Linked DNA regions of Arabidopsis thaliana. The protein of the gene in region 2 purifies or fractionates together with the protein of the main gene of each other region. This does not show direct contact. Each region holds a gene or a part of one and is shown on either strand. Other genes may lie near its edges.

Region 1 (5,221 bases), on a different chromosome or scaffold from region 2:
CTGTGAGATCTATGCCTCAATTCGACAATAGAGATGATTTTTGAAAGGAGAGACGACATATATAGAGACTTTGCTGCTAGCTCCAAATGGCTAATTTTCATTGAACACAACACACCAATTGTTAGATTTTCTTGTTCATTCTTGTACTATTATTAACTATGCAAGGAGAATTTAGACAAATATTTTTCGGTGCTATCATCCAAATCACTTGAACATAGATCATCATTGACGTCGATCATAAATATAAAAGAGCATTCTTACAGAACAAATCAACAGCATCTTTCACTTTACTAGAAACCCTATATATGAATAAAAACTTCTTGGACAAGAGCTGAGTAGTGTTAGTGTGATTTTCCTCTTCATCATAGCCCTCAGCAATAGAGCTGCATCACTACAACAATGGAGCTGCAATCCTGGTCAAAAGTTTTTGTAAATAATCTTCTTTCCTTTTGGTAATATAATTAACATTCTATCAAAAAATAAGTTTATCGTTTTGACCGTTAAATTGGAAACAGAGGACAGCTCTGTTTTGTGAAAGCCTTTTGTAGAGAGAGGGATTAATTTTGTTGTTTCAGTGACAGCTATAGTGTGGCTTCCCACAAAAACGATTTTTATTCATGATAGGAACAGTACGTATGAGATAAACTTGAAACCCTAGTATCAACCATATGAGTTGGTTAAATACAAAAAGATATTGAGAATTCTGATTTGAATCTCTTTGGATGGATCACACAAAAAAAGGAGACCAGTTCATTATTGATCTGTTTGAGGAAATGATATCCGCAAGAAAGTGTAAATTGGGCGTCAACCACAAAACAATTAACAAACCGGCTTTTGGTATATATAGAGAGATTAGTGAGCTAAAGCTTTAACCGCTTTCTCAGCTGCATCATCCAAATCATCAGCTGTTATGAGTTTCATTCCACTTTCCTTGAGGATTCTCTTTCCCTGCTCAACATTCGTTCCTTCTAGACGAACCACCACTGGCACTTTCAATGCGACCTGTCCTCGCCATTCCACACAAACACTCGGATTTATTTTCAATCATGAATATATGAAATATTATGGTAACAAGGTTGTTTCTCACTCACCTCTTTTGCAGCGTTCACGATTCCACTAGCAATCACATCACATTTCATTATCCCACCAAATATGTTCACCAAGATTGCTTTCACTTTATCGTCCGATGTCAGTATCTTAAACGCTTCCACCACCTTATTTTTTGACACAAACCTCTATTAAAATTGGTTTTCATTCCAATGATTCCCAAAAGTGAAGAAAGAAAGAAGGTTCCTTTTACCTGGTGCTCAGAAGCATTTCCACCAACGTCAAGGAAATTGGCGGGTGTTCCACCGTGTAATTTAATGATGTCCATGGTTGCCATGGCCAATCCAGCACCATTCACCATGCAACCAATCTCTCCATCTAAACCGATGTAGTTCAGGTCAACTTTAGCAGCAGCCACCTATGAGACACAACACACTATTCCTTTTAACATCCTATCGAATTAACATAACAATGGCTTTCTTGATGATACAAGAGATAGACAGAGACCTCTCGTGGATCCTCCTGTGTTGGATCACGCATGGCGAAAACCTCTTTTTGTCGGAACGCAGCATTATCATCGAAGTTCAATTTGGCATCAGCAGCTACCAATTGATTAGTTGATGTCTCCGCAAGGGGATTGATCTACAAGAGAAATTTGGAGGTTCAACAAAAGATATTTATAACTGAAGAAGTGTGTAGAAAAAAGACAGTGAGAGAGAACTCACTTCCAACATTGTGCAGTCAGTCTTGCGGAAGAGTTCGTATAGCTTCTTCACTTGTTCAATCGAATCTTTTCTGTCAGCAGCTTTGGGAGCCAGACCATCCACAACCTTAGCAGCATCTTCATCAGTGATTCCTGCAAATACATCAATTGGTACCTACGCAAAACCATGACTTGAGGTGTCAAAAACCCGCATGAGAAAGAATCTCAGAATGATATTTACTGGAGATCAGACCACCAAATACGAATCAAACAGTAACAACCTTGATGATCATGTCAGGGAACTTCTCAGCAAGATCTTCAATACTGGTACCACCCTTTTTACAGGCAATGATCAACTGATATAGGAAAGGAAAGCGTTTTAGATATTACAGCAGGGTATGAAAACAGCATGCCTAGAAGTAGGGAAATGAATAGCAGCAGCTCATCATTTGCGTAGTAGCATACCGGTCCAGCAGATTTACGGTCCAGAATAATGGAAAAGTACATCTCATTGACGAGTGACAATTTCTCACACAAGTAAACCTGCTCAAAATGAAGACACAATGAATAAACAAAGGTGCAAGAGCAGTGACAATAATAGAAGAAAAAACACCAATCATGAATAACAGATAACAAACCTTGCTAACTACTTTGCCTTGAGGACCAGTTTGCTTGGTGACAAGTACTTGTCCTAGCATCTTTCCTACAAGTAATAAAGATTTGAAATAGATCAATAACTTGTACAACAACAACAAAAAACAGACTCCAGAAAGCCACAAACAAGAAATCCTGTACAATACCAGCAATCTCTTCAGCCTCATCACGTTTAACAATGTGAACACCACCCTTAAGACCACTCTTGAATGTTCCAAGACCTCTTCCACCAGCCAAAATCTGGCTCTTAACAACCAACTGTATCACACGAAAATGACACTCTTTCAATTAGACAACAACTAATAATAGAGATTAGAATCGAATCCCTCACTGAATTTACCTCGCTTTCATTAGGGAAAACATCTTGAATAGCCTTTTTAACTTCTTCCAACGAAGAAGCAGCTACTCCTTTCGGCACATTAACTCCATATTTCCCCATCAATTCAGCTCCCTGGTTGTATCAGAATCACAATACAAACTTTACATTATCCTAAACCCAGAGAATTCTATCAACCACAAATCAATCAGTGGATCAACACAGAAACAACAGACAAAGACACAGATCGTACTCGAATTCTGACTTGACAAAAGCGAATCTAGGCAACTATCAAATGGAAATGAAGAGAAGAAGAACCTGATACTCGTGGATGTTGAGACGACGAAGCTGTTGGTTCTGCCATTTCCCGGAGATGGAGAGAGATCTGGACACGAGCTTGTTCACCAATCCCCTCATCGTTGGATTTGTTAGTAGTCGAAAAGTAGCCCAAGAGAAAATGAGAAAATGTAGAAAGAGCAGAGAATAGTCGCAGCTATGAATGATCGAGTCTAACCCTAATTTTTTCCTACTTTATGAATTTTCAATTTAACCCTCTCTATTCTTCTATGTCGCCGGCTCATTTAATTCCAAAATATTTTTGGTAACTCTTGTTAGAAAAAATCTAAGATTTTATTTTCAAAAAGTCTATATATGAAAATACCAAAGTACCATTTTAATTCACTAACAATATAACAATAAAAAAACTAAGCAATACAATTTTTCAATAAAAATGCTAACCCACTAGAGATTGACATCAGATATATCGCCGGATAATTTTTTCCTTTATAAATCTATAATTTTATTGTATATAACATCGACTGATTGTGTATTATTTGTAGTATTATTTTACTTGTATATGACTAAATATTTATATGAATAAATTTTATCCGACTTATCGACAAGACAAATTTTTAGTTACTGTATTTTAGATAATAATTTTCAGTTTATTTGGTTTTTTAATTTCCAGTTATTTAATTTTGAGTCTAATTAAAATAAAAAAATGATCATTTATTGTTTTCTCAATACATTTGATATTATTTACTTTCTGAAAAAATGAGGATACTTACAAAAGTTTCAATTATTTATTATGTACTTATGATATTACTGTTATCATCACCAAAATGAGCTAAGCCAAAAGCTTTAGTATTACTGTAAGGAATCTTCCACCGGTACGGTTGAGTAAGTTGAGTAAACCGGGATTACTCAAAAAGAAAAAAATTGTTGTCATTGGAACATAAGCCCCGTTCAGTTAGTCCGATGAGGACCAAGTGAATAACTGTCGTGAATCGAACGGCCATGATGTCATCGACGGAGAGACAACAGAAGCTCCACACACGCGTCTCAGCTTATAGAATCTCTCCACCGCATGATTCTCTCGTTACCGAGGCCGCATCTCTGCGAAAAGTGGCCCGGGGACTTTCCTGGGTCGGAACTTAGACAAGCCCATGTGACCCATTCACTTTGTCCAATGACTATTGTTACTTGTTTTCGTTTTCGACTAAATATATACACAACTGATATTTTGAAACTACCGATGTGGGACAAACCCCCCAAAAATATAAACATTCTTCTAAATCTGACCAAAATATAGTAATTTAGTAAAATTCGACTAAACAGTCTACTCAAAACTCATTGCTCTGTGTATTTATTAGTCCACATGATTATTCTCTCATATAAGTTAAATTGAATGTGTATACAATAAACCTATAAACTAACTCTAAAACGAACTTCTCAAACTTTGAAATGAACATGTTTTAGAAAGAATGCAAAATATGGTACAACCTTGACGCATTAGATCAAGAAGGTGGCTTCAAGTTCCTAATTGCAGCGGCCATGATCTGAAATAATTCCACATGTGAAATAAAATCAGACAACAACAAAGTCAACAATTATTGTTGTAATTATCGCTTAATGTAAGATAATAAACGTACCCGGGCAGATCCAGGATCAAACCTTCTTTCACCAATTCTTGTATTCCTGTCCTCACTCTTTGTGACTGCACTTCTTTGACTAGATTCAACTTTGCTGCTGCTGTTGCTGCTTTCACTACATACTTCTTCACCCATCTGTGTGCCTCTGTTCTTGCTTCTTGTTCTATAAGTACGGTCAGACGTTCCACCAGAACCAAGAACCGGGTTATCTAGGGATTCTGCTGCTTCATCTTCAATAACTTTGCTCTTGCTTCTTGTTGTGTAATCAAATATATTATTTGTTTGGAGACTTTGTCCCTTCTTAGAAAATTGTGTCGCCGCTGCTTTTGCACCGGCGATTGCAGCTGTGAGGCTGGTAACTTGCTTGATTGCAGCTGTGAGGCTGGTAACTTGCTTTGAATCAAGTTCTTTCTTCTCTTGCATTGTACAAGGAATAGAACCAGGTTTTAAGGAAAACGGGTCTTTTGGGTCAGGAAGAGGGAATTTCACCTTAAAAGAGTTTTGAGAAGGCATAAGACCTCTAGCTGCTGCTACATAAATCTGTTTCATTTAGAAATACAGTAAGTAACT
Region 2 (4,678 bases):
AAATCACGGAAACTTGGAGCTTGCGGAAACAGTTGGAAAGAAGCTTATAGAGTTGCAACCACATAATGATGGACGATATGTCGGGCTAGCAAACGTTTATGCGATCAACAAGCAGTTTAGGGCAGCTCGGTCTATGAGAGAAGCAATGGAGAAGAAAGGAGTGAAGAAAATTGCAGGGCACAGTATACTTGATTTGGATGGAACACGACATAGATTCATCGCTCATGACAAAACACATTTTCACTCCGACAAGATCTATGCAGTGTTACAGCTGACTGGAGCTTGGATGAATCTCGATGTTGACTATGATGATCAAGACAATCATTGTTTTTGTTCTTGACAACCACCACAATGTTTGCATATATAGTTTCCTAGATAAAAGGTTTAGCTAAATTATGTTACGTGATCAAACTTCAAAGAGTTATAGAACAATTCTGATGGTTTGTGCAGTTGGCAATATAACCCAACTTTTAGTTCCAAAAACATTACAAGTTTCAGCTGTGTTCAGATAATTTACTACTCATTATTTGGGTGCTAGAAAAAGATATAATGTTGTGTAAAGAAACATTGCTTCACTCTTATTTCTTGTACTGGAAGATAACATTAAAAATAATCCAATGCCATAAGATTTGAATCTCTTTTAATTATCACTGTTCAATTGGAAAAATCATATCAATATAGCAAAACAAACCCCAAAAAAGTGTGCAGCCATCAATGGCGTGGAATTAGGGTTTTTTTCTTTTCTTTTTTCTTGAAGGTTTCAAGATGGAAAAAAAGAAGCGAAAGCTAGTGAAATTCACTTCACTGCTTCAAAAGACCTCTTTCTTGAAAGAGCTCATACATCGCTGATCCAATCTTAGCCGGAGATTCAACAACCTTCACTCCAGCATCATTCAAACTCTTAATTTTGTCCTGAGCCGTACCTTTACCACCGGAAACAATGGCTGCAACAAACAAAAACCAGAGGAGTGAGTGAGAGCAACAGACCAAAAATATTAAATCCGGTTTAGGCTTCAGATAGCTTATGAAAATACCTCCGGCATGACCCATTCGACGACCCGGTGGTGCAGTAAGTCCAGCAATAAAAGCAACAACAGGCTTCTCAGTACCACTTGCCTGTTTATATTCACCAAAACCCAAAATTTGAATTTTACTTTTAAGAATGAGAATAGAGAGAGATGGACCAAGATGAAAGAGATTCTCAGTGGTATTATTACCTTTATCAATGCTGCAGCATCTTCTTCTGCAGTGCCTCCGATTTCTCCAATGAGAACGATACCTGAATCAGCCAGTTGTTTCTTAGTTTTTAAATTTTAGCTACCAACTAAACTAAGAAAAGAGAGGAATCGAAGCCTTCTAAAACAAGAATTTCATAACCTAAAGAGATTAGGTAAGTATGTGGTCATTCTTCTACTAAATGATCTTTAAAGTTAATCTATCTAGAGGAAAAATAAAATTGGAAAACGGTGAAACAGAATTAAGATATGGCTAGATAACTCCAGTTTGAAAACCTTACCTTCTGTTTGAGGATCAACAAAGAATTTCTCCAAGCAGTCGACAAAGTTTGTCCCGTTAAAAGGATCCCCACCGATTCCTACACAAGTAGATTGGCCTAGACCCACTGCAGTTGTTTGGAAAACCTGCAGGAAAGTCAAAACCGAAACAATGTTTAGAAATCGTAAGAAATATAAGGCCTAATTCAAAATCTAGAACCAACAAAAACCTGTTTATATAAATTTTCAAAAGCTCCATAGTGTAACAAAAGAACCATGTTCAATCTAACCTTTGGAGGGATTTATACTAGAAAACAAAACTAATTTCGGAGATTTTTCCCAGGCTAAAGACTATGGTGAAATAAACTTGAGAGAGATGGATACAGAGAACAAGCATCAAGCATAAGAAAAAAAACTTACAGCTTCATATGTCAAGGTTCCAGATCGTGAGACAATTCCAATCTTCCCAGGCTTGTGGATGTATCCCGGCATAATTCCAATTTTGCATTCACCAGGCTTGATAATCCCAGGGCAGTTTGGACCAATCAGCCTAGTTTTCGATTGACTGTTAAGAGCATGCTTTACACGTACCTAAATCAGAAACATCACTCAAGTCAAAGAGAGAAGCACAAGAGATAATTATATCAGTATTCAATCCTATGTAATAAGCACTGAAGGAGATATAACAAACAAAATCAAAGGCATGGTGATAATAATAAGTACCATGTCATGTTGAGGGATTCCTTCGGTGATACACACAATAAGATCTAACTCAGCCTCAATACCCTCCATAATAGCAGCAGCAGCAAAAGGAGCAGGAACATAAATCACAGAGGCATTGGCTTTGGTGTCAGCCTTAGCTTCAGCAACAGAGTTGAAAACTGGGAGACCCAAGTGTTCTGTTCCACCCTTCTTCGGTGTCACTCCTGCCACCTATTATTACACAATAAAAACGCACACAACGTAAATTAGTAAAGCCACTTGCTTTAAAGCAATCTCTCATCTCCAGGATCTAATGGAATTTAGGTGATGAAAAAGCATATATATGTGTACTCATTGTCAAAATCACTAGAAAACCCCTAAACCAAATGTAATCGGAACAATGGAGAAATACCCAATTCGAAGAAGATAAAAAGAATCAGGATTTTACCATTTTGGTGCCGTACTCAATGGCTTGTTCAGTGTGGAAAGTGCCGTTCTTTCCGGTGATGCCTTGACAGAGGACTCGTGTGTTTTTGTCAACGAAAACCGCCGCAGGAGGATGAGGATCCGACGCGAAGGAGCGAGATTGGGTCAACGAAGTGAGAGACTGGCATGACGGAAAAACCTCTGAGCCGCCGGTAGAACAACGGCGAGCTTTTGATGACAGAGATCCGATAAGCCTTGCCACTTGTCTAGACATGATTGATTGGCTTCTTCTTCTCGGTGCTTTCGATCCGAATCAAGTTGTGAACCCTAAACTGTGTGAAGACGGAAATGGAGCAAAGAAAATTCAGCGGAGCTCGGTTTTGAAGAATCAGCTGAGATCAAAAGCCGACAAAAGAGGCTTCCTTTAAAGGCTACACTTTTCTCAATTTTAGCCCAAACCCATTTATTTCTAGATGATGGACTTTTTAGAATTTATTTCAATCATTCTGTCAACTAAAAATTATTTAAAATCTTTCTGGAATCTTTCTCAAACATTGAGCTCTTCAGAAAAATTATGAATAAACGTATTCTGTAAAATCTTTCAATAGTAAAAAGTTTCATTTTCGTATCCATCGTTGGTACTTGGTAGACAAATGGTGTCACATATACATAACCCAGGAAGATCAAAGATGCATATACATAAACCCAACGGCTTCCAAATTTCATTTCACTGAATCATGTTCGAAGCAAGTAGTTACATACATAAATGGAGAACAACCGAAACAGTAAGCAAAAACCAGAATCACAATCATCATCAAAGCATATATGAAATGAAACCAGTTCACGGGATATTTCAGCTGACCAGAATCACTAGACTCAATGGTTTTAACAAACTAGATAGTGTTGGGAAGCTCGATTAGTAACGGTATTTGGTGGAGTAATCTTTTGGAGCAATCACCAACCCACGACCCTTCCTTGCACCACGGTAGACAGTCTCAATGATATCAATGAACTCCTGCTTGTCCTTGAGAGCCCAGTTGATCTTGTTGTTGTTACCAGTTCCAAGATCGATCATGATGTGCTTGTTCCTGAAGAAGAACATGACCGTAGAAGGATCGTACAGCTCGTACATGGTGTTGAAGTCTGGAACCTCAGTGATGTCCACCAGATAAATGACTGCAAAGTTCTTAATCGTCTCAGCAACAGACGCAAGCACCTCATCCATCTACAAAAATCAAAAACTTCGAATCAAAACAGAAACCAGAAACTGAATACTAGAATCAATTGTAAGTGAAGCCCTAAAATTTTAATCAGTTCCAAGATAATAAAGATCACACGAATGGCTAAAGTTTCAAACAATCAACACAACATATCCGGAATATTCCAAGATCACCAAATTCGCAAGAACAAAACGAAGCATAAATCACAGAAATGGACACTAAAACGGACACATTCAAAACCTTCTACATAGTAACCAACTCCAACAACTAGGATTTTTTTGAGTGAAACCCTAATTTCATCAGTTCTGAGCTAAGGAACACAATTTTCAAACAATCACCACAAAGTATCGCAATTTTCCAGTACGAAAGGATCCAAATCGAGAGCTATGAACTACAAATCGAATCAAAAACATATAATCAAGCTCAAGATCGAAATATAAAGATAAGAGAGGAAGAAACGTTTGACAGACCTGCATACAGGTCTCATCCCAGTCATGGCCGAAACGAATGACGACGAGACGCTCTTCCTCGGCCAGAATCGACTGATCAACAGCCCAACCGGAGTGCAGATGTGGAAGAAGATACGACATTCTCTCTCTCTCTCTCTCTCTCGACGATTTTCCGATCTGTTTCGATTCAACCTTTTTTCTCTCTTGCCCTAATTTTATATTCTCTTCCCAATTTTGTTGACGGTGACGGCGCGTCGATTCCACGCGTGAACCGCATAAAGCGTTTGGGCTAAGCCCTTGATAATACTTACTTTCCGGCCCAATAAAAGATAAATCGACGAGATTGCGAAACAGACGGTGATTAAGGTAGTAGAACACCATAATCTGG

The links. Proteins that work in one complex are often made in the same cells at the same time.
Region 1: the proteins of AT5G08300 (region 2) and AT2G20420 fractionate together in Arabidopsis thaliana (co-fractionation; one large-scale study listed by BioGRID). This does not show direct contact.

The regions. Positions count from the first base shown.
Region 1 is NC_003071.7:8,803,490-8,808,710, reverse strand, and holds AT2G20420 (ATP citrate lyase (ACL) family protein), read right to left. Parts: upstream 3,370-5,221; 5' UTR 3,138-3,369; coding exon 3,039-3,137; intron 2,856-3,038; coding exon 2,745-2,855; intron 2,663-2,744; coding exon 2,551-2,662; intron 2,454-2,550; coding exon 2,389-2,453; intron 2,294-2,388; coding exon 2,216-2,293; intron 2,107-2,215; coding exon 2,032-2,106; intron 1,926-2,031; coding exon 1,773-1,925; intron 1,690-1,772; coding exon 1,555-1,689; intron 1,466-1,554; coding exon 1,301-1,465; intron 1,215-1,300; coding exon 1,092-1,214; intron 1,003-1,091; coding exon 853-1,002; 3' UTR 540-852; downstream 1-539. Other genes in the region: RIC6 (ROP-interactive CRIB motif-containing protein 6), read left to right, coding at 1-44; AT2G20410 (RNA-binding ASCH domain protein), read right to left, coding at 4,517-4,558, 4,652-5,191. UniProt on the Arabidopsis thaliana protein: Succinyl-CoA synthetase functions in the citric acid cycle (TCA), coupling the hydrolysis of succinyl-CoA to the synthesis of ATP and thus represents the only step of substrate-level phosphorylation in the TCA.
Region 2 is NC_003076.8:2,665,796-2,670,473, reverse strand, and holds AT5G08300 (Succinyl-CoA ligase, alpha subunit), read right to left. Parts: upstream 3,114-4,678; 5' UTR 2,896-3,113; coding exon 2,644-2,895; intron 2,427-2,643; coding exon 2,217-2,426; intron 2,085-2,216; coding exon 1,914-2,084; intron 1,641-1,913; coding exon 1,517-1,640; intron 1,280-1,516; coding exon 1,218-1,279; intron 1,117-1,217; coding exon 1,035-1,116; intron 945-1,034; coding exon 802-944; 3' UTR 551-801; downstream 1-550. Other genes in the region: AT5G08305 (Pentatricopeptide repeat (PPR) superfamily protein), read left to right, coding at 1-340; YLS8 (mRNA splicing factor, thioredoxin-like U5 snRNP), read right to left, coding at 3,538-3,846, 4,312-4,431. UniProt on the Arabidopsis thaliana protein: Succinyl-CoA synthetase functions in the citric acid cycle (TCA), coupling the hydrolysis of succinyl-CoA to the synthesis of ATP and thus represents the only step of substrate-level phosphorylation in the TCA.